Linked DNA regions of Oreochromis niloticus. The protein of the gene in region 3 purifies or fractionates together with the protein of the main gene of each other region. This does not show direct contact. Links are inferred from orthologs where the notes say so. Each region holds a gene or a part of one and is shown on either strand. Other genes may lie near its edges.

The links.
Region 1: the proteins of slc39a4 (region 3) and golm1 purify together in Homo sapiens (affinity purification with mass spectrometry; 3 studies listed by BioGRID and IntAct, counting the BioPlex papers as one, with this or other methods). This does not show direct contact. The link is inferred for Oreochromis niloticus from reciprocal best matches to the Homo sapiens genes SLC39A4 and GOLM1.
Region 2: the proteins of slc39a4 (region 3) and letmd1 purify together in Homo sapiens (affinity purification with mass spectrometry; 3 studies listed by BioGRID and IntAct, counting the BioPlex papers as one, with this or other methods). This does not show direct contact. The link is inferred for Oreochromis niloticus from reciprocal best matches to the Homo sapiens genes SLC39A4 and LETMD1.
Region 4: the proteins of slc39a4 (region 3) and vps45 purify together in Homo sapiens (affinity purification with mass spectrometry; 3 studies listed by BioGRID and IntAct, counting the BioPlex papers as one, with this or other methods). This does not show direct contact. The link is inferred for Oreochromis niloticus from reciprocal best matches to the Homo sapiens genes SLC39A4 and VPS45.

The regions. Positions count from the first base shown.
Region 1 is NC_031977.2:20,711,214-20,719,025, reverse strand, and holds the start of golm1 (Golgi membrane protein 1), read right to left. Parts: upstream 3,024-7,812; 5' UTR 2,840-3,023; intron 1,736-2,839; 5' UTR 1,723-1,735; coding exon 1,594-1,722; intron 593-1,593; coding exon 413-592; intron 180-412; coding exon 125-179; intron 16-124; coding exon 1-15. Other genes in the region: LMBR1 domain-containing protein 2-B, read right to left, coding at 6,901-6,964, 7,092-7,185.
Region 2 is NC_031984.2:9,542,013-9,549,389, reverse strand, and holds the start of letmd1 (LETM1 domain-containing protein 1), read right to left. Parts: upstream 3,004-7,377; 5' UTR 2,958-3,003; coding exon 2,842-2,957; intron 2,556-2,841; coding exon 2,401-2,555; intron 1,616-2,400; coding exon 1,500-1,615; intron 1-1,499. Other genes in the region: gtsf1 (gametocyte-specific factor 1), read left to right, coding at 3,794-3,825, 4,538-4,653, 4,760-4,866, 5,743-5,869, 5,975-6,064, 6,519-6,576, 6,657-6,732. UniProt on the Homo sapiens protein: Plays an essential role for mitochondrial structure and function, as well as thermogenesis of brown adipocytes.
Region 3 is NC_031985.2:18,074,001-18,081,271, forward strand, and holds the start of slc39a4 (zinc transporter ZIP4), read right to left. Parts: upstream 3,021-7,271; 5' UTR 2,866-3,020; coding exon 2,656-2,865; intron 1-2,655. UniProt on the Homo sapiens protein: Selective transporter that mediates the uptake of Zn(2+). Plays an essential role for dietary zinc uptake from small intestine. The Zn(2+) uniporter activity is regulated by zinc availability.
Region 4 is NC_031985.2:38,208,361-38,215,364, forward strand, and holds the start of vps45 (vacuolar protein sorting-associated protein 45), read right to left. Parts: upstream 3,002-7,004; 5' UTR 2,851-3,001; coding exon 2,758-2,850; intron 2,652-2,757; coding exon 2,517-2,651; intron 2,431-2,516; coding exon 2,370-2,430; intron 1,935-2,369; coding exon 1,855-1,934; intron 1,037-1,854; coding exon 968-1,036; intron 831-967; coding exon 693-830; intron 462-692; coding exon 351-461; intron 125-350; coding exon 1-124. UniProt on the Homo sapiens protein: May play a role in vesicle-mediated protein trafficking from the Golgi stack through the trans-Golgi network.

The DNA.
Region 1 (7,812 bases), on a different chromosome or scaffold from region 3:
GCCGATTCAGCTGACCTACAGTACACACAAACACATACATGAAATTAAGTGCACAGTTTTTCAGCGGCCATGTGATGGTTGCTAAGTCAAAGCAACACTTACAACAAGCTAAACATTACGTTACCTTTGAGCTCCTGTATGGTTTTTGCACTGGAGGAAATGTTCTGCTGCAGTGTGGCCTAAACACAAACACACAACGCATGTCAATACTCACTTATCACACTTATTTATAGTTCATATGAAAATTTTCCCTGATAAGTTGTTTATTTGGTGTGAACCGCAACAGTGAGTAAGTCAGAAAAGTGTGTTTATTGCCCATAGATTCCCTTGTGACAAGAGCTGATAGACAGCACCTCTGAGGTAGCGTTTGTGCACATAAAGGTTTTTTGTCACCAGTTTTGTTTGTATGCACCTTGTGTTGGCTGCAGGTGTTCTCAGCTCCCTCCAACTGTCTCTTATAGAGACTTTGTATGTTGCTGATCTGATCCTTTTGTTTCTGGATCTCCTGCTCGAACTCCTTCTTCTTCATCTCGTCTGCTCCTCGCTCTGCTGCTCCACGTCGCACCTGGCCCTCCAGCTCATACAGTTTAGTCTGTGTCACATGCAGCAAGATCAGTATCACGTTACTGCTTTTTATATAGGCCACTTATTTAGAATTTGTCATGGGTCATGATAACATCCATATGAAGAGAACAAAATGACAGAAACTTCCTGGTTCAGAATGAGTCTTTAAGGGTTAACTATGCATACAGATATATATAGTTACACATGCATGTGTTACCTTATTTTCTGTGTCTAATAAGCTAAAACAGGAGTCTTTCTAACCTTATTTGACAGAAATTTCTGAATTTCTTGCCATTTAATGCAATATATTAAACAACAATAAAAACTGGACTGAAAAAAATAAAACCTATCTGACAAAGGGAAGTAGGCTAAAATATCTCAAGCAGCAACACATCATGTCGCAATCTAAAGAAAACTCAAAAACTCTCAATGGAGTTGAGTCACTTACATCTATCAGTCTGAAAAGTGTTACAAAGCCACGTCTAAGTGAAACACTGTGAGAGCCATTTTTCACAATTGAAGAAAACCTGGAACAGTGGTGAACCTTCCCAGGAGTGGCCAGCCTACCAACATTACACCAAGAGCGCCTTAAAGTTCATCCAGGAGGTCATAAAGGAACCCAGAACAACATCTAAAGAACTGCAGGTCTCACTTGCTTCAGTTAGGGCAAGGTAGTATAAACCTTGCCTAACTTCTAGGTATTTTACAAGAAAGGAGACACTCCTTTTCAAAGTTATGTGTGAATGGTGATTGTGAAAGAAAAAAAGAATAAAGTTAGAATTGGTGCAATCATTACAAGGTCACACAGGTCTCCAAATTATGACAGTATTTATATTTTCTTTTAAGTCAGTAAGCGAGAACAGTTCTTGGCACATTTATATTGGTAAAATAAAACACATGTAACGCAACATCAAAGTAAGTACTATTAGAGAAAGACGTAAAAACAAAAAATTTTTTTAAACCTGTAAGCATGATAATTATGCAAAAGAAATAAGAAATGAGGAAGAGTTTGAATACTTTTTAACCCACCTGAAGCTCCAGGTTGCGGGAGCTGGACACCCAGTAGTTAAAGCCCAGAACCAAGATACAGGCGATCAGAGCGGCAATCATAAGAGGCGGTGACCTTCCTCCACGACGCCCGTTCCCCAGCCCACCCATTGCTGTCTACCAACTGAAAACACACAAAGTAGCCCACGGTTAGCACACTTCTCCACACTTTATTTTCTAACTGCATCTTTTAAACACATATTTTCTGTGCATTTCTGGCAAAAAGGTGGTGGTTTTGCAAGTTGGTTGCAGACATGTAAAAAAAAAAAGCTCGCTGTCGGTTGTTGCAGCTTTTGTGTCAGCAAAAACACAAAAAGCTTACACAGGAAATGTTATTTGCACATACATACAGACAACAGTATGTTGAGTGATTCTGTTGGAAACAACACATACACAGCTTTGGTGTTATGTTTACAAATATTACACACCTGTACGGTGTCACACTGAAACATACCCAGCACCACAGACAGCAAAAAGATGTGCTCAAAAGTGGTGACTCAGTTAAAATGTTTTTAATGGGGAAGGGAAAAAACAAACAAGCTAGAAGGACATTCCCAAGGACCAACGGGAGCTAAAATGCAACAACTACATACTAAAGAGCAGCACTACACATCACCGACGAAGTGCCGTATTGCCTAGTTTGTAATACATACTGTCGATGCGGATTCCTGCTTTCCGTGATTCTCCGTGATTCTCCTTAGTCAATCAAATGACCAAAGGATTGCAAAGGCGCAAAGAACTGTTTAACATGTGACAGCGCAATTAGTAACAAAACGAACAACCAGCTAACCTTCAATTTAATATCACGTTAGAAAAATCTGATGTGTACTACTAAATCACAACACAGGCCTGGAGCCAGGGTATACCTGTGTTGTGTTTGGCAGTATAAATCAGAGCCACCCGTATCGTGACGGTGGCGATAACACGGAACAACTCGAGAAAAATGGGTCCTTCGTATAATCGATTAGGCAAATTCAGGTCAAGAGAAAGCAGAAATACTAACTTCGAATTTTTTTTATGTATATTATTTATTAAATATGTGACAAAGCTACATAAACGTGTAAAGAAATGGCCACATTTTCTTCTTATTTGGGCCAGTGCTGAAAGAAGAAGCGAAGGAACTCTACGCTGCAAGCTAACGCTAACATTGTTAGCAGCGCTGCTCCTTCACAGTTGCTGTTACCGTTTTTAGGTCGCTTAGCTAAAACTAGCAGCCGAACCTACTTACCGGATATGTCTGCCTGTCAGAAATCAGAGCCAAATCCGTGAGGCGATATATGGAGTGACACCTCGTTTTATATTCTAACAGCTTTCGTAGACCGTCAACGTCGGACGATTAGCTTGTATCCATCATTGCCACACAGACAGCTCAGTCTGTGTGCTCTGCCTGCTGCCTATGACTGAGACGTTCAAGTACTTCCTCGGATTGCTGTAAAAACAAATCATATTTAGTTTCACATAAATAAATTAATAGACAACGAAATCCCCCTAAACCCTAAAGTATTTTGCAATATCAGCTTCGAAACAGTTTGCTTTTGACTGCTGTCAAGTAATAAATACTGAGAGACTGGTAGTCTAGGCTACTTTAAGATCTAAGAATTTGTTTTTTACGAAGTGCCTAGAAAGGCATCACCGGCAACGGTCAACCGGTCCTCTGCATCTGTAACATTAACGTGTCATATCATGTTAAATAAGATTTAAATAATAAATGTAGGTATATTAAAAATATTAATACATGTAAAACATTAATTAAAAACTAAACAATAAAATATTATATTATTTATAGATAAACTAATGTAAGCAGGATAGGGATTTCTCTACCCAGCCTTTCTTTCTTTCTTTCTTGGGCCTGATCTGAAGTGTGACTTTTATCATTTAAGTGGGAACTGTATGGGGTTAGAACGATGCCACCTTAAAATAAAACTGAAAAAAATATTGAAACTGAAAAAAAAAAATATTGTAAATGAAATAAATGTACTGAAAAATTTTGTATTGAAAGTGAAAAAATTGATAGTGATAAAAGATTAATTGAAACTGTAAAATTTTTCAGTTTCAATTTTTTATGTTTCTGTTTTTTTCAGTTTCAATATTTTTTTCCAGTTTCATTTTAAGGTGGCATCGTTCTAACCTCATAGAACTGGTGTTGTTTTTTTGGTCATGCAAGGAAGAGTGCTCCTTTCTCTGTCTATTTTGAGTTACATTTTAGTATAATTTTGTTTTTTCTTGTGCATTGTCTTTCTTTTTTATGGTTTAATGGTTTTGAAACTTAATGACAATTTTCATGAAGAAAAAAGAAATAAACTAATATTACTTCTTTATCCCGTTTGTCTTTTGACTTCTTTTGAATCTTTTTTTTTTGGAAAAAATACATTTAATATTTTAAAATTAAACAACATTTGTCTTATTCAGATTGCATTAATTGATTTTTCAAGTTGACAAACTTTATGATTATGGCTAATTATAACATAAATATGGAGTCAACGTATATATTTCAACAAGAGATGTAAGATGGTGTGTTGAGAAGTATTTTGAGAAGCTGATGAAGAAAAAATGAAATGGGGAACAGATGAAGTTAAGTTAGTGGATCAGGAAGTGCAGAGAAATAATGAGGAAATGAGAGGATCTATCAAGAGAATGGAAACAGGAAAGGTCCAGATGACATACCTGTGGAGGTATGGAGAAGTCAGAGAGAGAGGGCAATGGACTTTAACCTGATTGTTTAATTCAATTTCAGAGGATGCCTGAAGAATAGAGAACTGCACGGTACTTCAAGAACAAGGATAATGTGAAGAGCTGTATTAACTACAGAAGAATAAAGGTAATAAGCCATAGCATGAAGCCAGTGTGCTTCATGTGCTATGTTTGCCTTAAGAGTGTTGATGGAGATGTATAGAGAGCGTCATAAGAAGTTGCACTCTCTCAGCACTTACGATAGGGTTTCAAGAGAGGAATTTTGGTACTCCACGAGGAAGTCAGGAGTGGTAAAGAAGTATATGAGCATGGTGCAGGACATGTATGAAGACAGCGAGACAGTGGTAAGTTATGTGGTAGAAGTGACAGATGGGCTCAAACTAAGGGTGGGCCTGACTCAGAGATTCAGCTCTGAGCCCTTTCTTGTTTTTAGTGATGATGGGCAGGACTTATGTTTGCAGACAACATTGTGCTCTATTGTTAGAGCAGGTGGAAGAATGCCTGGAGAGGTGGAGGTATGCATTGCACTAGCAAAAGTCAGCCGCCCAAGCTGGACGTGGCAGAGCTGAAGATCCTCGAACTGGGAGTGACCAGGATGAGAAAAGAGTAGATGAGAAGAACAGATCAGGTTGAGTGGTGTGGAGAAAGAGTTAGAGAGGCAATCTGTTTGAAAGGGATAATGGATATATTGGACAAATTCTGTCATTAGGACATGCAGAGGGCTGCAAAAAATACATGTAAAAAAACGAAAACAAAAAACAAAACTCTGTACACTCATGGAATTACAGTATAAACCTCTCTCCATATATTTGCAAACAATTCTCTTGCAATAATTATCTATTTAAAAGAAAAAAAACAACAACCCTCAGGCCATGTGGTAAAATAAACATGGTGACATTTGAAAAAAGGGCTATAAAGGACATCTTGGGATGCTGCTTTATTTCAATTCAATCTTTATTAGCAGACTTCATGTCCATAAAAAACAAGACAGAAACACACACACACACACACACACACACATATATATCTATATATAGATAAATAAGTATATAAAACATTAGTAAAAATATAAAACATTTGTAAAAAATTTGTAAAAATATAAAACCATAATATACATAAAACACAATTACTTAAAATAAATCAATAAATACACAAACACTTTAACCAGTGCTTTCTCAGACTGGATGAGTAACGGGAACCACTCAGTGTCGGATCTGTAAGTGCTAAAATTATACTGTTACTTGAACCATCCAGTCGTTCTCTAAAATTGTACATTAACTTTCTTAAAAGTGCTTTAAAAGTCCAAACACCCACAGCTACAAACATCTGACTGGCACTACCACTTCTAGGTATCCTGCAAAGGATTCTCATCGCATCATTATATGCAACATGCAGCTTCTGCATGCTACATTGTTTGTAGGATGACCACAAGGGGGCAGTATATAGCGGTGTGCAATACGCTTTAAACAAAGCCACTTTAACTGGAAGTGAACAAAAGCTGAATTTGCGTGCAATAGTATTTGCCTGCACATAGAGCTTACATCGTTGTCTGTAAATGTCATCATCATCATTCATTTCCTCAGTAATAAAGTGACCGAGGTATTTCACCTTTTTATGAACTTCAAGAGTTTTTTGGGCCAGTTTAAACAAAGGGAAATTTAGCTGTTTATCCTGCTTGGTTCTACATATCAAAACAGCACTTTTAGCAGCATTGTACTCTATGTCATATTGCACACCATATTCAGTACAGACATTAAGAAGATCCTGCAACCCAGCACTGCTTGGACTAAAAACAACCAGGTCATCTGCATACATAAGATGATTTATCAGTGTTTTACCTAATATACACCCAGTGTTACAGGCTCTCAGCTGCATGGACAGATCATCAACATATAGATTAAATAAAATTGGAGACAAAATCCCACCCTGTCTGACACCATTGCTGACACCAAAGGGGGCAGAAATACTACTTCCCCATTTAACCTGCATGCTCTGATGAGCGTACCAGTAAGAGAGAATCCTCACGATGTATATGTCTTTATATATTTTAGGTCACTCAAAATCCAACAGCAGATAAAGTACACGCAAAAACATTATGTTTTAATTATACAATAACAGTCGAACAGTTCTAAATTGTATAAATAGATGCCTGGAGACTGCACCACATGAAAATGATGCTATTTAGCAGATACAGTTGAAAACAACTTTAAACATGTTTATGTTTTTGATATATTCTCTTTGACATTTTGCTTTAGGCACAAGAATTGAATTTCAAATTAAATAAATATAAAATCTATGCACATACTATGAGGTCTATTATCCACCAATTTTATTATACAACATAACAATATCAAGCACGCATTTACACACATGTGTTAAGAAGTCCTTCTAGTTACCGATCGCTATAAATACCACCTGTATTTATGCTGTTGATATAAAACCCTTTATTAAAGTTATATTTTACATCTTTACGTTTTTTTTCTTAAGAGTGAATTATCTGCATTCAGACTTCCCTTTGCAGAAAATGTTCCATTTGAATCATTTATTCTATTTACAGCACATATTAGCTTTTTGATTTCCCTCCAGGTCCTTCGTGCATCACACGTCGTCAAACACGCCCTTCACTGGAGGTGACAGAGTGAGGTAACTTCCTCCTGTGGATCTACAGCATTAAACACAGTAACACAGTGCGACAGAGAGGGACTGTTAGCATTCTTTTAAAACACAATATTATTCAGATTCATTTTAACACTAATCAACTATATTCTTGGTACTGAATGACATTATACCTTCTGTTGGGCGACTCGTCATCACTGGAGTCTTCCTGCAATAAGCCCGTCTGCTGCTCGTCGGCCTTTTCGTTTCTTCTGGTAAATGTTACAACTGTGAATACAGAGAAGAAAAGATGCACAACACTAGTAAGCAGATTGACTTTTTCTACAAGGGGTGGCTATAGCTCCAGAGATAGAGGTCACCTACTAATTGGAAGGTTAGTAAGTTCGACATATGCATTCACAGAAAAAACGTACCTGTAGATTGGGTGAATGACACAAGTTGTATAATGAGTGCTTAAGTAGAGTAGAAAAGCACGATATAAAAACCATTTTATTTACAATATAAATCATGATAATCCATCAAAAATCCATGTTTGGTGTAATTCAAAACAAAGGGGGAAAGGTGGTGACATGTTAAAAACTCTAAAAATGTTCTTCGTAATAATCATGTGCAGCAAAGAAATGACCGTTATCTACCATCTGCTAGATATTTATATATGTAGAAATATATATAGATGTAAAGCAGGCAGTTGTTCATGTGCAGCGTATTAGGTTCTCGCCACATAATTTTAATCAGATTGAGATCTTGAATTTGACTGTAATTTTACAAAACTTTGATTTCTTTTTTTTTTTTCAGCCATTCTGCTGTAGATTTGTTGCTGCAGCTTGGAATCATTATCCTATTGCATTACCAAGCTACAACCAAGCTTTAGCCGTCAGACAGATGGCCTCACAT
Region 2 (7,377 bases), on a different chromosome or scaffold from region 3:
TCAAGTGAGCCAAGTTACTGTGAGACAATAAACATTACAGCCCTGAAACACTGACAATGCATAAACTAAAAATACTGCACTGCCATAACCACAGGAATTGAAACTCTACCAAAATCTACACTAATTTATGAGAACGGGTGACTAAACGCTAATCCTTCCCCTTAAAAGATGCTCTTACAGTCTTCACGATTATGAAATTAATTTTTAAATACCATTAGTATTTATTCAGAGCGATAGCTCAGATTGAAAACCTGACGTACAAAGTCAGTGCGATGAATCGGCTGAGATGTGTGGAGGGGAGGAAGTGGGATTATCGGGAGAAGGATGCAGAAGATGAGGCTGACAAGCAAGAAAAATCAAAACAAAAAGGAGCATTACGGTTGTTTTGACAGAAAATGCCGATGGTTGGCATGAAAAGGGAAGATTTAGAAGACAAGAAGAGTTGGAAACAGACATTTCACTGAACTGATCAAAAAGAAGAAGCTGCCAAAAATAAATAAGAGCATTGCTTACATCAGCATTACACTTTTTTCAATGCTGATAAAGTAGATGACCTTCTCTACCTCCTGAGGCATGCCATCCCACCCCTAATGCACCTGAAGTACTCGCATCTTGATAAATCCTCACGCCTGTTAACCTAATATCAGACAGAATTAACTCATTATGACCGGTTCAAACAGTGGGTGTTCGTTTTTTCTTTTTATGGTTGATTTAAGCCTTTTCATTTTAGGTGTTTAAATTAGAATATATTCATTTGTTATTTTGATCTTGATTTCTGTTTTTCTGTCTATTTATTCTTTTAATGAATACAAACTGATGACTGCCCTAAATAATATAATAGTTTATTTGCCTTTAAAATTTTAAACAGTTTTGACAATTAGTGACAAAACAAAATAGAACTGGTTTTATTTGTGTGCATAGAGATGGTGTTAACCCGACATGAATTCCCATTGCCGGTATTACACTAATAATACTCCAATCGAAAATCTAAATAAAATAGGATTATATTGGATTTTCTGTGACAAAATGCATCATATTTTGGTAAATAACATGATATAAAACGCAACTTTTTTTGCTAAGAGTGAATGTATGAAGAAAAGGATTTTAAAAAAAGATCCCAGATAAAAAAAAAAGCAGTAGGTAATTTCTATACAAGTGAATTTCTTTTTGCAACCAGAGTTCGCCTCCTGCTGGCCATTAGACAGAATACAGGCAAGAGAAAATTTTACACTCAGAAGCAATAGCATCATATCAACAATCAAAATCAAGTATATTCAAAACTTTTGCAATTTAAAAGATTAAAAAACATCAAATAATTTTTTTTCTGACTTATTGCAGATTTAATAATAACAAAATAAATGTAATTACATTTAATAAAATTTAATAATAATCAGGAAAGTACTCATTTTCACTGAGCTATAAGCAGTTTGATTCCCTCCATTTCTAATATGTGTGGAAAATTCTGGTATTTCTGTGTGCAGTGTGGTAAACAGACCCACCTGTCTGAGTTTCTCCATGTCCCTGTAAGGCAAATCCTGGAACTTTACTCCATCAGACCACATTTTTGCTTTTATCCTCCTGATATCTTTAGCATCTCGGAAAAGGAGCTTGAATCCTGGAATGAGTGGCAGAAAAAAATTGTTTTAAATATTACTGTAGATTTAAAAATATTATTTGACTCTTAGAACAAAGTGCTTTGTAGCATGCTGTTTATTTAGACACCAACTCCTGGGCCTGCTTGTACTTCTGTAGATGTTCACTTTAGATTGGGGCCACAAAATGATGTAATTATATAATCATTTGTATATTACAAACAGTGTGTAGTATGCAATGTTTGTTTGCTTGTTTAATGCAGTTTTAATAGAGTAAAATGAAAATGTGACTTGCAGGACCTGAAAAAAATAAGCTTGGGTAAGTGATGGACAAGAACAGTGTTTTCTCAATATAATGCTGCCAATGGGGTGATGTTTGAAAGAAGACAACTGGACTTCTTTAGGTTTTTGAAGATATTTCACCTACCATCCAAAAGGCTTTTTCAATTCTAGAACAGAAGCAGACAAATCCATACAGGAAGTAAAGACCCTGAGGACCCTGATGTTAGTAGACCAGGTGAAACGATCATATTAAGGTCATGGACTATGAGAAATCTGGCTATTCATGTCCCTGTATAAATGTTTTATTTTAACTCCAGATTCTGATCATGAGTTGGGTCTTGAATTCTCTCTCTCTCAGCAACTTTCATCTTCAAAAACCTTCATATATAAGGTGCCTATGTACTACAGCAGCCTGTTTCCTGGTCCCTAGTCAGGTCTCCCAACCTCATTGTTGGGCTAACAAGACTCACAGGGCACTCCTGTAGTGTTTTTGGAGACCTCAGATGTGAGTAAACCGTGAGCTTACCTTCCACGAAAGTGTGATAGAGCAGAAAAAAGCGGGGAAATCGCTTTTTAAGGAAATCTTCATATTTGGTATTAGCCCACTGGAGTTTGGAGGCAACATAACGAGCAAAACCTCGTCTGACTTCGGACGATGAGTAGTGTCTACACAGGGGCAGTCTGTCAGAGAGGAAAGATATTATCTGTCATTAAAGGAATAACATCTTTGTTTGTACATTAAAGAATTAAAAATGATTGCTCTTTATCGTTAGGGTATGCACCAATCACAATATAATAATTGCTCTGATGAAAATATCAACAACGTACTTTAATTTTTATTTTATTTTATTTTCAATATCTCTTATCAGCCGGTAGGTATAGCTAGCTTAGCAAAGGTTCACGAAACACGAGTAAAACAAAAATGATAAATGATGGAAGCGACAATGTTAAACGGCTTCATATATACCTGAACTGACAGAGCATGTAGGGAGAGTGAAGACCATGTGTTATCCTGTTTGTACCCAGACGACAGTGTCGGATTAAAGACAGTTGACTACACAGACTCGAACAGGACAGCGCCATGTTTGACAGCCAGCGCACTTACCGTAATGACGCTCATATACAGCAAAGATAAAAGTAAGTCAGTTACCGTAATGGCAAAAAAATGGTGCCAGGCTCAATATGAGCCACATGCTACATGCTAAGTGTGTAAAATGATGCCAAAAAAGCTTTCTTTCTTTGATAAATGTAAATAAGCATTCTAAAAACATTGACTCTTTCATATTTTAATGAACCATCCATTCACAAAATAAAAAGTCTGCTATAATATAAGAAAAATATGATATGATGTGATACAAATAAGTCCAATTACAAATAAGTTTTTCATTATAAGTATAAGTATATTACATTTTGTTGTTTTCGCTGCTCTAATACAATGATTTCTAACCTTTTAAAATCACTAAAGAATTTCAAATTTTTTCTTATTCTCTATACTATTTCTTTGCCAGTAGCTGTGTACTTTTACGTTAGCATTTTACTTTGAGTACTGACATTTTACACGTAATCAGTAGTGTCTACTGTACTCTTAATTTTGCTTGAACAGTTCATTTAATTTCGTAACTTTTTCCAAAAGTCAGTGCAATTTAATTAGCATGTTTTATTGATGCTATTTAACATCTTTACTTAAAAATGAATGGGTACTTTTTGCACGGACAACTAATTTAATTAGCTGCTTCTTCCACCATAAACCAGAGATTCAGTTTGCACATTTTATTGATAGAATTCATAGTTCATATAAAAAGATTTTTTAAAAAGTAAAATTTAAAAGTTAAAATCCCTGTAGAGTAAATAATTTTTTTAAGTGCTAATCACGTGACTCTTCGCGAGGTTTAAAGAAGTGGGGCGGCTCTGGTTGCTTGATGTCTTTTGAGAGAAACGGCTCTCTTTCACGGTAATTTTAAACCGCTTCTAGGCTTTATCTGATGTATTTTCTACAGACTTTACAAAAATTAAGTGCAGGTGTTTAAAATTCACGTGTCTCGGGCAATGTGCTGAGTAGCTAGGCAACTTTTTGCTAACAGATTTTGGAAACGGGCCAGCTCTTCTTGCTGCATATTTTACGGTAACGTTTGAACGTTTGATGAGCTAGGTACTGTGAAGCGTGTCCATGAGGTAGCCCTGCGACTTATTTTAGCCATAAAGAATGGCTTTATATCAGTCAAATGTGAATATTTGGTCATCATGGGAGTTGTGAGCTGGAAGATGAACATAAAAGCCATGAAAAATTAATATTAAACTCTGCAGTTAAGAGTGCGTTAGATGTTTAATCAGGTCAAAGAAGAACAGGGGGTGTAGGAACCACCTGCACGTGTACTGCGACGCAAAGAGTTGGGGGAAAAGAGCTAGCTTCATTCACTAAGGTCACTCATGTTTCTGTCTTTATACACATATTAGGAGTATTTTTTTTCTTCTTCTCTATATTTAAAATTAATCCAAACCAGCAGGTTAAGTTAAGCTCACTTTGGGGTGACAGAAAAATGTTGCACACGTGCAGAGCTGAAGGGTTAATGTGGTTATGCACCTTGTGAATGCTGTGTCATGTGTTGGCATTACCAAAGTGCAAGCGTATTTGGGGGTGGGTGGTTATATTTTAATTTAAACAGTTTGCCTGCCCACAGTAAATCCCAGCTACAGATGGCGAGCAATTTCGGAATTGGAAGCACCACCAGTCCCTGCAGGACCTCTTCTGCAGAGCCAGCACAGCTGGTGGAGGAATATGGTAAAACCAACTTTTTTTCTTTTCTTTTTTTTTTAAAAACATTTTACGGTGTTGTCAGTACTTTTAAATGCTAAGTTAATGCATTTGCTTCTCACCCCCTTTAAAGATGGGAAAGGAAACACAGACCCAGAAAAACTTCTTCAGTGCCCTTTTGATAAAAACCACAAGATCCGGTCCAGCCGCTTTCCTTACCACATCATAAAGTGCAGGAAGGTGCGTCAAGTGCTAGTATCTTAAAATTTTAAGTTTTAGTTGTATTTTTTTTCTATTTTACATTAGTCTGTCAATTTGGGTTTACTCATTTTCGTTTCGTTTTTTTAGTTTCAATAGTTCCAGTGATGGTTTTAATCTTATAAGAGAGTTTGGCCTTGTTAGAAGTTCACAGCAGCCATTACAATGCAAACATTACACTTTGTGAAAGCAGTGACTGTCAGATACAATGCACCTAAGCCTCATCAGGCAGGCTGTCTATACAAATGTGAGCAAATTAAGACTTGTACTAAAGTCTTCTTAAAATTGATTTTATGATGCAATATAACTTTGTGATACGAATGAATGAATTCAATTAATGAGAATTTTTATTCCTAGTTTTGTAGCTTGGTATAGTAACTAGTATTTATTTTATTTTTATTTTTTTTCTCTCTCTTTAGGCCACTAACAGACATTCTGTGTTTATATAAATTGGTTTAGCTGACCTCAGTATTAGCCAGTTGCATTTGCTTCTAGTCACCAATATATTAGCAGCACTTAGCCTGGATGTTGCAGCCCTGCACAGTTTAAACTAAATTCAAATTACTGCTTTCTTCTCACGTCATTGAGGGTAGATTAAATGTTAGAAGGGCCTCGGTGTCATGCAGCTGAGTTAAACAGCATCCTATTGAATAATCTAACCGCTGAACCAGCGCTTAAAATTATTTTTATCAAGCAGAACATCACAGCACTGAGGTAGCCAAATTTTCTCCACTGGTGGGTGAGGGAGAAGAGAAATTGTTAAATGGAGAAGCTGGTACTGGTCTCGAGTAATTCCCTGGCTTGAATTAAACTTTAGCCATGACTGGAAGTTTAATTGTTTATATAAACTCTCTGCAGAACCATCCCAAACTGGCCCGTGAATTAAAAACCTGCCCTTTTAATGCTCGCCACCTGGTCCCCAAACATGAGCTGGCTCACCACACTGAGACCTGTGAGGACAGAGTTCCTGTGGACATGGAAGAAGGTAAGATTGCTTTTCCTTTTTTTTTTTTTTTTTTTTTTTTTTTTTAACTTAAATTTAATCATGTTTAACATCGTGAATATTTCTTATTTTACAACCCTATTATAGATGGAAGTTCAAGTTCAAATGGACCTTGTAACTGGCATGTCCCAGTCAGCACTTGGGTTAACCCAAACATGACTGAGGATTGGGATCAAGGTATGACTTATGACCTCATCATCTTGGTACTGGCACAAGGATAACTAACCTTAACCTGGCTGTGTTAATCAAGCATTAAAGTACTTTAGGCTCGCTTTCCTTGTAATGGAAAGCTGAAGACAACTGCTCCTCCTGCTTGAAGCTTATGCTCACTTGATCTGTGACCTCTGTAAACGCTTCATCTGGGTTAATGGTCTCAGTTGCTAGTTTTAGTAAATATTACTGAATAAAACTCTAACTCTGGAAGACTGCTCAGGCCTGTTGTGATGAACTGCAACTGTGTAAAATGTGAAATATCCCGTTTCTCACCTAGATCCTACCTAGAAACAATACTCCATTTTAAGAATGGGTCTGAGATCTTAAATGGACCTGAAATATAAACTTTTTGTGCTGCACCCTGAGACATTGAGACATTAATTACTGAAAGTATTAAGGTAACTGTCCCATCTTGCAGAGGCGGATAACACTGCTGCTCCATTTGTGTGGGGTGAAACCAAAACCATTGGGCCAAGGTAAGTCAGCTCTTCGATCAGTCGGCATCAGCTAACAGTAGTTTTTCTGTGTTCTCTAACTGTTGCCTCTCTCCCACCAGACAGGAAACAAGACCCACCAATAATCTTGGTCCAACGTTTAGATCACCCAGTGACATTCCATGGTCTGGTTTTTAAGCCATAATTTGTATTTACTGCAGGTCCTGATAGCTAATTGTAGGCCTGTTGCATGTTTAGCTATTTCCCTTTTTAAATTTGTTCTTAACATTTTTTTTTTTTTTTTAACTTTCCCTCAATGTGACTCATGCCTTCTGCCAGATGCAGACTACGATGATGTGATATGTCCACTTTTTTTTTTTTTCGTCGTGTCTAGCATCCTCACTGTTTAGTCAGACTGCATTGTTGCTTAATAAAGCTGTTTATGTGAGGAAACTTGTAAGTTTATTTATTTTCTTTTTAGTCACATGCTATGCACTGCTTCAAGATGGTTTAAAGGCAAAATTTTCAAGTCCTATAGTCGCAGCAAGAATCCGGGACTTGACATAAAGTCACAAGGTCTGATTAAATCACCAAAAACAGTTGGTGTAGAGCAGGGGTGGGGGAACTCCAGGCCTCAAGGGCTGGTGTCCTGCAGGTTTTAGATATCGCCCTGGGTCAACACACCTGAATCAAATGATTAGTTCATTACCAGGCCTCTGGAGAACTTCAAGACATTTTGAGGAGGTAATGCAGCCATTTTAAACAGGCTGCTTGGGGTGTAACATGAACTTTATTTTGGGCTATTCTAGTTGTGCCGCATGCATATGTACACTTAAACCAGGT
Region 3 (7,271 bases):
GGTTAGAAAGACATTTCTAAAGTGAAACACAGTGAGAGCCATTATCCACAAATGGAGAAAACTTGGAACAATGGTGAATCTTTCCAGGAGTGACCGGCCTAGCAAAATTACTCCAAAAGCACATCGACGACTAATTCGGGAAGTCACAAAAGAACTCAGAACAACATCTAAAGAACTGCAGGTCTCAGTTAAGCTCAGAGTTTATGATTCAGCAATAAGGAAGAGACTGGGAAAAATGGCACCCATGGGAGAGCTCAAGGAGAAAACTAGTGCTAGTGAAAACTAGCAAAACTAGCAAAGAACACAATGACTCGTCTCACATTTGCCATATTAAAAACAGTAACAACATCTTGATGATCCCTAAGACTTTTGAGAAAATATTCTATGGACTGTTCCCGCTACATTGGTGTAAAACTAACAAGGGATTTCCTAAAACGTTTCTCTCCGGGTGGGGTCAAACATGGTGGATTCATGAAGTCTGCTCTCTACTAGAGAGGGCTGAAGCTCAAGAGCACTTGGGTTATGCAGCAGGACAATGATTAGAATCAAACCAGCAAGTCCAACTCTGAATGGTTAAAAAAAGACAAAGTGGAGGTTTTGGACTGGCCTAGTCAAAGTCTGGACTGAAATCTTATTGAGATGCTTTGACATGACCTTAAACAGGTCGTTGATGCCTGAAAACCCTCCGATGTTGCCAAATTAAAGCAATTCTGCAAATAAGAGTGGACTTCCTGTGGAATTCCTCCACAGAGATGTGAAAGACTCAATTCCAGTTAATACAAACACTTGACTAGTTCTTGCTGCGAAGGGTGGCACAACCAGTTAGGCTTAGGCTTTCACTCAAGACCAGGTCGGTTTGGATAGCTTTACTTCTATAAGTAAAATGATCATTTAAAAAATGGATTTTGCATCAACTTGCGTTTTCTTTGTTTAATGCTAAAATTAGTTGGATTATGTGAAACATCTAAGTTTGACAAATATTCAAAAAGCTAAGAAATCAGACGGGGACAAATATGTTTTCACAGCACTGTATATGAACTCTAAGACAGCGAACTAATAGAAACGTTTTTATTGTGGGTCAATATTGAACCTCTTTCACATTTTGCCTCTTATAATCTACAGTGCAAGCCGATGTCACTACTGCTAAGACTTTTACATCAGTTCTCACAAACAATAATTTACCTACAATGACATTTACAGTTTTCTCATCCCTTTTATTTCATCCATCATTCACTGGTGGCTGCCACAGCTGTCTGATAGCGGACATTTATCAGGCATGCACTGCACATTCATGCTGTTTTCAGCTGACATCTAAGAAGTCCAAGGACTTCGCTCTCACTCACTGATAAAGTGGTTTTGTCTAAGTTGCCTGCAAATACTTTGAGTAACAGCAACACTTATAAAATAAGCATGGATTAGTGCTAACACACTGAACTTGAAACCGAAGAGTAATTGTTTCAGCCAGCCTGGGTTTTTTTTTTCCTGCTTAATTTTTGGTGCCCCCTAAGAGAGCTTTTAGCCAACGCTGGAGAAAAATCACCAGCACTGTAACAACTTATTTTTAAACCAGCTTTTATGAGCTGAAGATTCCTTTACTGAAAAAAAATGAGATTTTATCTTTATTAGATGGTCAGATAGGGATGTGAACACAGCACCCTTTAAAAAAGGCCAATTCTAAGGCAGGAGAAACACCTGCCGTTAAAGGCCGTGATCGGTGTTTAGGCTCCTGTTGACTGAAAGAAGAAGCCTATTGATACAAGGCAAAATGCTGTCCAACACTGTTTTTCTTGATAAAACCTTGATTAAAGCTTATTTCACTTACTTTATCATTAAACTTTTAGCATTACAGTAGCCAGACTTCCACCAGAGACTCTTTATTTAATAACTTACTGCACAGGAGAAAGAAAGAAGAGGAAAGAAAAGAAAAAGGTCTGAACTTATAAAACATAAATGCGACAAATAGCTGTTTTATGTTGTAAATGATCATAAGATTACTGTCTCCTTTTAGGTTCAATTAAATGACACTTCTTTCTTTTTCTTCTTCTTTTTTTCTGTGCATCCACGGCAAATATTATGTAATAAAGTTACACTTAAGACATTTTTTCCTTTCAAAAGCAGCTCAAAGATTCCCATTGACAAGCCCAGTTTATTAAACAAGCCTGGGATTAAATAGAAAAATACAAATAGGAGCCTAAATCCCATCATGAAACTACCAAATGCTCGGAACAACTGGCCGGCCAAGGTGGAAAAATGGTGCTATTTTAATGCTGAAGGGATTTAAGGATTTTCTGTTTATTGCGCTTTGCTGCACTTTGATTAAAAAAGTACTTACAGCATTATTTGAAAGCACCCTTACTTTACTTTTAGTTAACTTTTGCACACTCTTACAGAAGGAGTAAATAAGCAGTTTGGAATATGTAAGTAAACTTTACAGATGATTATTCAGCAGATAAGTGCTTAAATCTAAATCTAAAAGAAGTAATGTTAAAATTTAAATTTTTATTTTAACATTATTTTTATTATTAGTAAATTTGTTACAATTGAAAGCAGCCGAATCTATCACTTGCGTAATAGCTTTTGGACCTCGACCTTTTTCCACCGCACCCGACTCAAGGCTCTCCAGCTCGGTTGCAGCTTTAGCCTAATAAAACTCACCTTTTCACACGGCACTTCGCCGCACTGCACACGGTTCTCCAGTGTATTAAAGAGGGAGTGAAGGGATTCCCCGGTCAGATACTGCTGTCCTGGAGACACGATGCTCACCACAGCCCCGTAAGCTTCCTCCACAGCGGGGGAACCCGACACAAAACCGAGCAAACCCCACCCGGAGAGAAGCAGCAGAAGAAACGGCGAAGAGGAAATCATCTTAAAACTTTCTTTGAAGAAAAAAATATCTGGAAAGACTAAAAGCCTAAAAAAAATGCAGAAATAGTGTGACACAGAGGTTCATACAGTCTCAAGGTATTTCTGCAGACACATTGAGCCATAGAGCTCAGCTCACGGCTGTTATCAGTTTTAAACCACTGCAGTCTCACTGGACCTCGGCTGTGATTGGCTGAGACATGCCTCGTGCTGTCCTGCACCTGTCTATTATAACCACTGTTACCTGTACAGGTCAGAAAAGGCACCCCACAGGCCTCCCAGGCATCGCCACACCACCAGCAAAACACCAAACAGCGGTTTCACCCATATTAGTGAACCCAAAGTTATTTTAGGCATCACACATCACACAAAGGAGCTGATAGGCTCAACCAACACAAATCCAGGTAAAGGAAATGGATTTTTTGATAAAAGGCTTATGTGGCTGGTTTGCACTGACTGCTGAAGAAGATACAAAATGTTGATGTTTTAATCCTGACCACCATATGAGAGCTATTATTATTATTTATCTTACTTAAAATAAGTGTTTCTATTTCTGTCTATGCAGGCAAAAATACTGGCAAACCAAATACTAAACCATTTGATACTTTAAAAAGGGCCGTTCCAACTTTGTAAACCCTTAATAGACAGTTTCCTGCTTAAATGTTCAGACATCCTTTCCATAACAAAACTGGAATTTATTTTTTAACTCAGTGTCAGGTGCCTTTATCTTAGTGGTAAACAAAATCTTAATTAATTAATATTTCAAGTAAATAAACAGTAACATATGTTTATAAAGCGCTTTTCAAAAACAAAAGTTACAAAGTGCTCTGCAATATAAAGCACAATAACAATACAATTAAAATGGATAAATAGATAAAAGTGACCGGCCCCGACTCCTCTAATGAGGTCATTAAATAAAATCAAAGTTAAGCTGTATCTACCACAGCATTTTTTAGAGGAGACTGTAAAATACCCCTCAGGAAAAGTGCATTTGGCAATCAGCTATACTTACCCACAGTACAATACAATACCCGCAGAAATAAGGAATATAACATTCTTTACTTCTTTCTCTAAATCTATAAAACAGTGGTTACTGGATAATCAAACATGCTGTCCTGATGTGAAATAATGTCACTGAAGGTAATTGATTCTAATGTGTTTAAATATGGTATATGGGTATTTATTATTATTCTTTATTTCATATGTGTTTCTGTATTTCACTTAAGTTCACATGCTTCTGAATGTTTGGTTTTGTTGACTCATTTGTTATGCCATCAACCTGCCAGTGACTACTGATGAAATTGAATCAACGTGGCTAAATCTGCCACATTTATATGATGGATGTAAGTGCTCATGTTAATTAATATGCATTGTCCCTTTTAAATAAACATAAACTAAAAGCAAGTGTGCACAGGTTCATCTTAAGCTTCTTTTTAAAGGTATAAATAGCGGCCGCAGATCTTAAGTTCAATGGTAGCAAATTCCACAACTTAAAGGCAGCAAAATTAAAAATGCAATTTCCTCTTGTCCATTAATTTAAGGAGGTATTTGACCATGAGGAGCTCAGTAAAATCTTAATGGGGTACTGGTATAAAGAGGACATAATCCATGTTCTTTTAGAGGAGCTGGTGAGAAGTCTCACAACTGCATTCTGGACCATTTATGAGCGATCCAAAGATGTGAAATAAAAGCATGCTATTGTCATTTTTATTTCAAATTGAGACACAATATATTTTAGAGGGGCAAATCTGAATAAGACAGCCAAGATACTCATCAAAACTGAATTCCTAATCCAAAGTACAAAGAGATTTCTCACATTTGGGAGATCTTTTTTCAGACCTTTGTTTTCTCAATAGAGAAAAAAAACTAGCAAAGGAAACTTAAAAAGAAAGAATCACATTTCTGCTCTTTTCAAAATAGTTTTTACTTCTACATTAAACTAGGTGGAAAAGAAAAATCAGGCTGTAAAAAGAGTTGACCTGCTTCAGGGAATTACCTAAATATACACCAGGGTCCCAGATTAATTCTGCAGCATGACAGCAAGCCGAAACAAATGACCAGAGACGGAAACAACTATCTATAGTGACAAGGAGAAAACAGAGTCATTACAGTCAGAGTCCTGATCGCTTATCATGGAGTCAGTCAGGGATTATCCCCAGGACTGTTGCACATTCTAAGATATGCGTGGAACAACTTATCTTACAGTTGGCTTGAAAACAGAGGATTGTAAAATTTAAATGTTTCAGATCGTCAAACAAATTTTAATATTAGTCAAAGATAACCCGAGTAAAAACAAGATGCAGAGAAAAAAAGGTATCCACATCTACCTGGTCATGTGTGATAAAGTAATTGCCCCTCAACCTAAAAACTGGTTGTGCCACCCTCGGCAGCAGGAACTACAATCACATGTGCAGAATTGTTTTATTTCAGCCACACTGGAGGGGTTTCAAGCATGCACAGCCTGTTTAAGGTTATGCTAAAGAATTTCAGTCAGACTTTGACTTGGTCACTTCAAACATTCCTTTTATTTTTTTTGAGTCACTCAAACCTGGGCTTGCTGATTATTGTCCTGCCATGTAACTAAAGTGTGCTTAAATTTCAGGGCATGATCTGATGACCGGACATTCTCTTTCAGGATTTTCTGGTAGAGAGCAGAATTCATGGTTCCATCAATTTGTTGTTCAGGTTCCGAAGCAGCAAAGCAGCCCCAGACCCTCACACTACCATCACTGTGTTTAACTGTTTGACTGATGTTCTTTTTATGAAATACTGTGTGTTTCACACCAAGTATAACACGACTCAACCCATCCAAATATTTTCCCAAAGGTCCTGGGGATCATCAAGATGTTTTTTGGCAAATATGAGATGAGCCTTTGTGTTCTCTTTGATCAGTGGTGGTTTTCACCTTTGAACTCTCCCAAGAATTTAGGCTGAGTCTCTTTCTTATTGTTGACCCATGAAACCTGGCTTTTTTTGTGAACTCTTGGATGAGCCACTGATGCGCTCTTGGAGTAATTTTGGTAGTCCAGCCACTCCTGGGAAGGTTTAAAACTCCCTGAAAGCCTTCAGTTAATCTAAAATGCTGCAGCAAGAGTACTGACAGGGATTAGAAAGAGAGAACATAGTTTTCCTATATTGCCTTCTCTTCGTTGGCTCCCTGTTAAATCCAGAATTGAATTCAAAAACTTTCTCCTCACATACAAGGTCTTGAATAACCAGCCCCCATCTTATCTTAATGACCTTATAGTACCGTATCACCCCATTAGAGCACTTCGCTGTCTTACTTGTGGGTCCTAGAGTATTTCAAAAGTAGAATGGGAGGGAGAGCCTTCAGTTGTCATCTGTCAGGTCTCTTTCTGTTGAAAGGGAGTTTTTCCTTCCCACTGTTGCCAAAGTGCTTGCTCATTGGGGTTCATATGATTGTTGGGTTTTTCTCTGTATGTATTGTTGTAGGGTCTACCTTACAATATAAAGCGCCTTTGAGCTCTTTTAGATATCTTCACTTTATCAGACAGGCTCTATTTAAGTGATTTCTTGATTCAATGTGTCTGTTAGCAGGGGGAAGTACTTTTTCCACACAGGGCCAGGCAGGTTTTTCTCTTAATAAATGAAACCATTGTTTAAAAACTGCTTTGTGTATTTACTGTGGTTATCTTTATCTAATACAGAATAAGTTTTTGATGATCTGACACATGTAGAAAGGAAAGGAAGGGGGCAAATACTTTTCTGTAGCACAGAATGAGCAGAAACACTTGGTCACAGATCTGAAAGGTCAGCTATAAAAACTATGGGAGTGAGGTTAAAGAGTTTGCATGTTTATAGGGTCCAAATGTTGAGCTGACACATGGTAGTTTTGCAAAAAGGTTTATGACAAGTGCAAAGATGAAAGCTTTTAAGATGGAAAGCATGAATGTTGTAAAATATCTTAATTTACGCCACTCGTCTCTGCTGCAGTTGAGCAACATTTTACAGGTGTTCTCCTTGAGTTAACAATAAAACCTGCCATCAGTGCAGGACGTGACAACCTGTCCTGAGGCCGAGAATAAACCACAAAGAAATCAGAGACTCCCTGACTCTGCCTGGCATTCCTTTTGCAAGAACGGGTACACCAAGTTCAACATAAGCATCATGAATGTCATTTTGCACTCTAAAACATCCTGACATTCAACAGGTTTGTGATGGTATGTTCATCAGATACTGGTCAATGAAATGAGTGCTTGAGGACACCCATTTCCTCAGTTATGTCTTGTGATATAAGGAATTTAGTAACACTTCAGTAACATTTCCACATATCTTAGTGAAATCCAATACATTAGATTAATTTTCCTTCTGCAGGCAAGTTTACCCTTAACTGCTCCTTCTGTCAACTGGATCACCACAGATGTTCATGTGCTTATAAATTTACCTTT
Region 4 (7,004 bases), about 20 Mb from region 3:
ACTCGTCATTCTCAGCTGACAGGACCACCTCTCTCAGGTCTTTGCTGATCCCGGGGACTCTGGACAGGTCGATCCTGTTGTTGTTGAGGCCAAGCAGCTCGTGGACCATGGCCTGGTATGTCCACTGCAACACAGCGAAAGCTCGTAAACACGCATGCACTTCACACAGACACACAACCAGTGAATTTATGATTTGCTGATTTTGTAGCGGCACACAACATCCATCAAATTAAAGTGACAAATGAGCTGCAGAGGATGCAGTGTAAAAGATGACAGAATTATTAAAAATGTAAAATGATTTCCTTTAATTAATTTCTTCATCGACGTCACAGAGGACAGCGACCAGTCACCTGATTGAGCAACGGCGTGATGGCATCGTCGCTGCGGTCCAGGATAAGCAGCAGAGGAGGAACTTCAGTCTTCCTGAAGTCAAACAGCTCGTACTCCTTCGTGATGATTTGCTGACAACAAACAAATAAAATACTGAAGAATAAAAGTACTACTCAGAGTACTACTTGAGTAAAAGTGTTAACAGCTTGAGGCTCAAGTGCTTTAACCAAAGGGCTCAGGTTACAGCACAGAGGTGGCATCATCTTCGAACAGCCAACAGGACACACGGCGCTAAAATAACCTGTAGTGGCATTAAAAGCACTTTTCAGTGATGACGTGTGTGATGATGATGCTGTGGAAACCTTGACGCTCTCCGCGAGCCGTTTGGACATGTCTGAGGACAACTGGTAGCGGATCATTGGACATTTCTTCAGAGCAAGCAGGACGGAGGTCAATCCCTGAGTGCAGCGTGCCAACATAGAGGGTTCCCAGCTCCGCCCCTAAAAAGCACACACACACACACGCACACGCACACACACACACACACACACACACACACACACAGAGGTGATGTGATTTCAGTGTGTGGAGCTTTTTAGGGTGGAGCTCTGACAGCTGAGGGCCTTGTGGTTCTTACCCGAGTGACTCCCTGCAGGTTCAGGGAGAAGAGGTGAGGATTCACGGCGATGAAGTCTCCGTAGAACTCCTGCAGACACACACACACACACACACACACACACACACACACACACACACACACAGTAAGCTATACTTCTGCTATTTTGGTTTTGATGATGTCACTCAGGTGTATGAACTGTGTTCACACCAAACATGAAGCAGAGTGATGGTGATGCTCACGCAGGGAGGAGGACAGCTTTCCAAGACATCCTATGAATTCTCGGCACAGTTTTGTTCTGTGTCTGCATTAAAATTAAATTTGATCAAACAGCTCGGCCCGACCACAAACCGCCATAGGAAGCTCCTCCTCCATTTGTGACTATCAGTAGCATCAGGAGGATCTCACCTGACATTTGGAGAAATGATGAGAGGCTAATGGAGCACTGATGGTCACGCAGGCCAAACTGGATGTTACTAGCAAGGAATTCTTTCATATTACATACATATACATAAACTTAGCATGTTGGGCTACATGTTACTGATGTCATCAAATGAAGTCGTCACAGAGGAACACTTTCAGCTGAATGTAGCTCTAGTCAGCTGAAACTCTGATTATAAACAAGTATTTATTGCATTATTAGAGGAAATGTTAAATCAGTGAAATAATGATCTGTCCAAAGACTGAACCAGGTTTCCACATGCAACAAGGAGGTGAAGAGAGAAAAAGACTCTGGACTAATATCATTGTAATAATAGTGACGTTGTTAAGTTATCGTGTTGTTAAGATGTATTTTGGCAGTCAAGTTCAGCTAAAAATGAACCGCCATGACTGACAGAGAGATCTTACATCATCAGTAATGTGGAAATATTAAACCCCCACGCTTTCTCTGAGGTCCTGACACTCACCTGGACTTCAGCCACCACTTCCTGTTCATCAGCCTCAGCCAAGGCCTTGATCTCACTCTTACTGATCACGTTGCTAAAGTCTGAAACACACACACACACACACACACACACACACACACACACACACACACACAAGTCAGGTGATGAACTTCAGATGAAACAGACTGAAACAAACTTCTGCCCCACACCTAACTCCACAGAAAAAATCTCTGATATCTGCTCAGCTGACAAATCCACAGCTCTAAGTAGAAAACGACTCACATTTGATGACAGTGTCACTGTGTTTAATCAGACTGGCGTCATTAAAAGCAGCAGGATTCGCTGGTAGCAGGCCCTCATCCATGTGTATCACGAATTTTCTGATTACATCACTGATCTCTAGGATTCTGCAGCAAAGCTAAACTCAGTTGCATATGTTAGCTTCCGAACTATGTTTGAACTGTCCGAGGAAGACGAGTGCCAAACCAGCAACCCCGTTCTCCTCTCACTCCCGCCCTGTCACTGTGGAAACTTACAGATAAAGTAGACACTGTACTTGGGCCTCCTCAGCTCCTGGATCAGGTGCTCCACATTCTCCTGCAGCAAGCACACAAACACACTGTTGCAGATGGTGTTACCTCACACACAGACACACACAATGTTACTCAGAGGGTGGTTTGTACCTTGGTGGGCCGCAAGAAGCAGATAGCTTTAAGGTGCTTCATGTTATCTCTGTTCTGAGAGTCAATCCGCTCAAACAGGTAAACCTCCTTCTGCAGGATCTCAGACTGAGTGTACACCACGCTCACTATACTGGTCTGAACACACAGACGCGCACACACACAGACACCATCAGACACAGTAACGTTGCTGTAAACACTGCTCAGCACCAGCACCGCTAACAGTCCTGGGTCGGTGCCTCACCGTCTCCTTGTCCATGAGCAGCACCTTCATCCCGGGCCCGCTGATCTCGATCATCTTGGAGATGTACTGCTTCACCTCGAGCGTCACATTCATGATAGCGACACTCAGAGACCACAAACAAAAACAAATAAACAAAGAGCAGCGGCTACAGAGAGGGCTTTTCGTCTCTTTACCTGCGGAGCTGCTATAACAACACTGGTGCAAACTTCCTTCCGGGTCCCTGACATCACGTGCCACACGCACTCTGCTTGCGTCATCGGGTTCTGAGAGATTTTTTTAAACTAGTAATAATAATAATAATAATAATAATAATAATAATAATGATGATGATGATGCATGTTGATATTGCCTTTTAGGCTGACATAGAATAACATCCTTCAGTCCGAATTTTAAAATGGAAAAAACATAAATTACACAATTCCACTTATGAAATGCTTTATTTATGCCAAAAACAATAACAACAACAACAACAACAAATACTAGACTTAGTAAACATGTATCTTATTTACATATAAATATATTTACTGATTTCTTTTTACATTTTGTTGGTTGTTGTGTTAGGAATCGCCAAACCATCCTGACATTTTGGGCTGGAAAGTTTAGCTAGATTCCGGAGCTGTTACATTAGAGCCTTTGATGTTCGCCGTTCATGTCTTTAATCAGAGTTTATAGACTCTGTAAATAAAAACAGTCCCAAACCGATTAACTCTGTGTTGCTAATAATTAGCTTAGCATTAGCATGCCAAAGATAAGAAGCATGCTAACAACTGTTAGCGTGCCGACATGAAGCTGAACTCTACTTAAACTGGCAGAGTGTGGTGCTTAAACTGAGCGTATTTATCATCGATAAGCAAAAACATCCGGTTACGAGGAGGAAAACATTTAATAAGCCACATATCAAAACAGCTGCTGTGAGCCCCACGGACAGGTATCACTCCGCTCTGTCTGAATGTAGTCCCGTAACAGCAGCAGCGCTAACAGGAGGTTGTTGGCGGAGGGATATGGTTGTGCTAGCAGGAGCAAACAACATCCCCAACGTGTGTGTGAAGACCACACATTATTCATTTTATTCCTAAAAGAAAAGCACACGGTTCACAGGCGGAATTTTAACGGAATATATAATTATTTTGCACATTAAATGTCCGGATAAGGTAAGCGTCTGGTTGGTATACTTTTTCAGTGGATGTCATCCAGAGTTATTGAAGTCTTTGAGTTAGCAGCTCGGCTAGTTAGCATAGTTAGCTCAATGCTAAGCTGCAGTGTGGAGAGACTGTAGGGAAAAATAACGGTGTATAGATTTGTTCATATCACTCAACTTTTAATAGTTAGAAATCAGTAAGTGAAACGTCGTTGAGCTTTAGCATGCTAAGCTGCAGCTGTGGTTACTGAATGTGTTTTTATTGAGTTTTGAAACTTGCTCATGAACTGAATTTATTAATGTATTTTAAGCTCTGTTGCTTCTGATCGAGTTTAGGGTCAACTAGAACAACTTTGAGCTACTCCCTCTATCAGCTACTAATTAAATCCCTTTGTTGTTGAAAATAAAATATTAATAGGAGCTCCTTATTGATGAAGTTGGCACTGCTAACTTTGAGATAACCACTAGCAGAATGCTCATACAGGGCAGCTGACATATTTATTAATGAAATAGCTTCAGATCTGTGTAGAGCTGCAACAGTAAACTGGGTTAGCTTTTACTGTTTATTTAGTTTTTTAAAATTTGTTTTCAAAGATTTAAACCAAAAGGAAAGAATTTTAGTTTGAGATTTCCTTTTGTGTTCAAAAATAACATTGGTATAATTAGCCACATGCTCTTTGTTAGGAACCCCCTGTGAAATACTTTTATAAAGCTTATTTTGACTGATGTCCTGTTTGAATTGCAGAATTGGTTTATTAGACTGTATTAAAAATGAGGTCTCTATAGATAATCTCCCTGTTCAGAACAACTGTACCTGATGAATGTTTTTATAACTTTCAATTCAATTAAATTAAATTTTATTTATATAGCGCCAAATCACAACAACAGTCGCCTCAGGGCGCTTTATATTGCACAGTAGATCCTACAATAATAGATACAGAGAAAAACCCAACAATCATATGACCCCCTATGAGCAAGCACTTTGGCGACAGTGGGAAGGAAAAACTCCCTTTTAACAGGAAGAAACCTCTGGCAGAACCAGGCTTAGGGAGGGGCGGGGCCATCTGCTGTGATTGGTTGGGGTGAGAGAAGGAAAACAGGATAAAGACATGCTGTGGAAGAGAGACAGAGATTAATAACAAGTGTGATACAGTGCAGAGAGGTCTATTAACACATAGGCTACGTTCACACTGCAGGTCTTAATGCTCAATTCCGATTTTTTGATCAAATCCGATTTTTTTGTCTGCTTGTTCACACTACAAATAAAATGCGACAGCAAACGCGCTCTAGTGTGAACGCTCAAAGCGACCCGCATGTTAAAAAGAAGATGTCACACACAACTCGCTCTGTTTAGACCCAGAGCAAACAATATTGTTTGACTGATGGCCCTTAATATAAAGACTTCAGACTTTGTTTCCCAATTTTTGCTTTAAATTATTCTGTTATTTACATAATAATGTAAATAACCTAATAATGATCCTTATTGCTGTTTTAGAGGAGCGGTGCTTCAAAGGATAATCTGCAGATTATACAGTACAAATAAAATGTTCACGTTGTCTTCCCAACAGTTTCACTGACATCTACACTGGATGGCCAGGAAGCGTTCGCGATGTCTTCTCCGGCGCTGATAATTGGCATCTGTCTTGTGTCAGTGATGTAAAAGACGGATTTAATGCGACATGACCGTTCAAACAGCAGTCGCTTTCTAACACATCAGATACGTATCGGATTCAGTACCACATACGAAAGTGACCCAGATCGGATTTGAAAATATCGGATTTGTGCTGTTCACACTGTCATACCATGATCGGATATGGGTCGCATAGGGTCAAAAAAAAAATCGGATTTGATGCGCTTTCGCCTGCAGTGTGAACGTAGCCATAGAGAGTGAGAAAGGTGACTGGAAAGGAAAAACTCAATGCGTCATGGGAATCCCCCGGCAGCCTACGTCTATTGCAGCATAACTAAGGGAGGATTCAGGGTCACCTGGTCCAGCCCTAACTATATGCTTTATAACTCACCTGTTGAAATTGGATTAAGGCTTAATATTTGCATTTTTAGAGGCATGTTTGACTGATGGGTGCACGCTGACAGAGGTGGTTCTAGCTGCTAGCTGGCTGCTAACTACTGACTTGGACCTCTAGTTTTTGTGCAGGTTTGTCTCACAGGTGTGTCCTTCCACCAGGCAAGGAGATGACAACAGAGGTGGAGAGGCCAGCAGGAGGCACAGCTGACCAGGAGATGAAATGTAATGAAGAGGAGGAAGAGGTCCTGCAAGAAATGGATGATGAAGGTTAAAAACACCCAAACAAACAAACAATTCTGTACAGTGAAATGAGTTCTGCATATGCAGGTTATCCTTCCATTATCTCGATTCACTTAACTAACTGCCATGTCTAAGAATCTGTATTTATCAGATTAGATAGATTAGATGAAACTTTATTAATCCCTCGGGTGGGTTCCTCCGGGAAATTCAGTTTCCAGTAGCAAAGCACCGAAAGAAGTTGCATGTTACAGATACAATAAAGGGGAATGAGAGTAAGGATATAAGCATAAATACACCATATATACACATATATAGATACAGAATATACAATATTCTGTATCTATATAACACAGTCGAATATAAGAAAAAAAACAAAACAAAACAAATATTGCACAGTGTTAAAAAGCACCTACAGCTCAGTTGTTCCCGCCCTCCTTTGTCCTCCTGTTTCCCCTCCCTCTCCCCTCCAGTGAGGAGTTAAACAGTCTGATGGCATGTTGGACAAAGGAGTTTTTAAGTCTGTTGGTTCTTGACTTTGGGAGAAGCAACCTGTCGCTGAACAGGCTCCTCTGGTTGTTTACGACTGTGTGCAGAGGATGCCCAGCATTGTCCATAATGTCCAGCAGTTTCTTTAGTGTCCTTTTCTCTGCCACTGACACCAGAGTGTCCAGCTTCATGCCGACCACAGAGCCAGCCTTCCTGATCAGTTTTTCCAGCCTGGATGAGTCCTTCTTTGCTGTACTGCTCCCCCTACACACCACAGCATAGAAAAGTACTCCTGCAACCACCGACTGGTAAAACATCCTCAGGAGCTTCCTGCAGATGTTAAAAGACCTCAGCCTC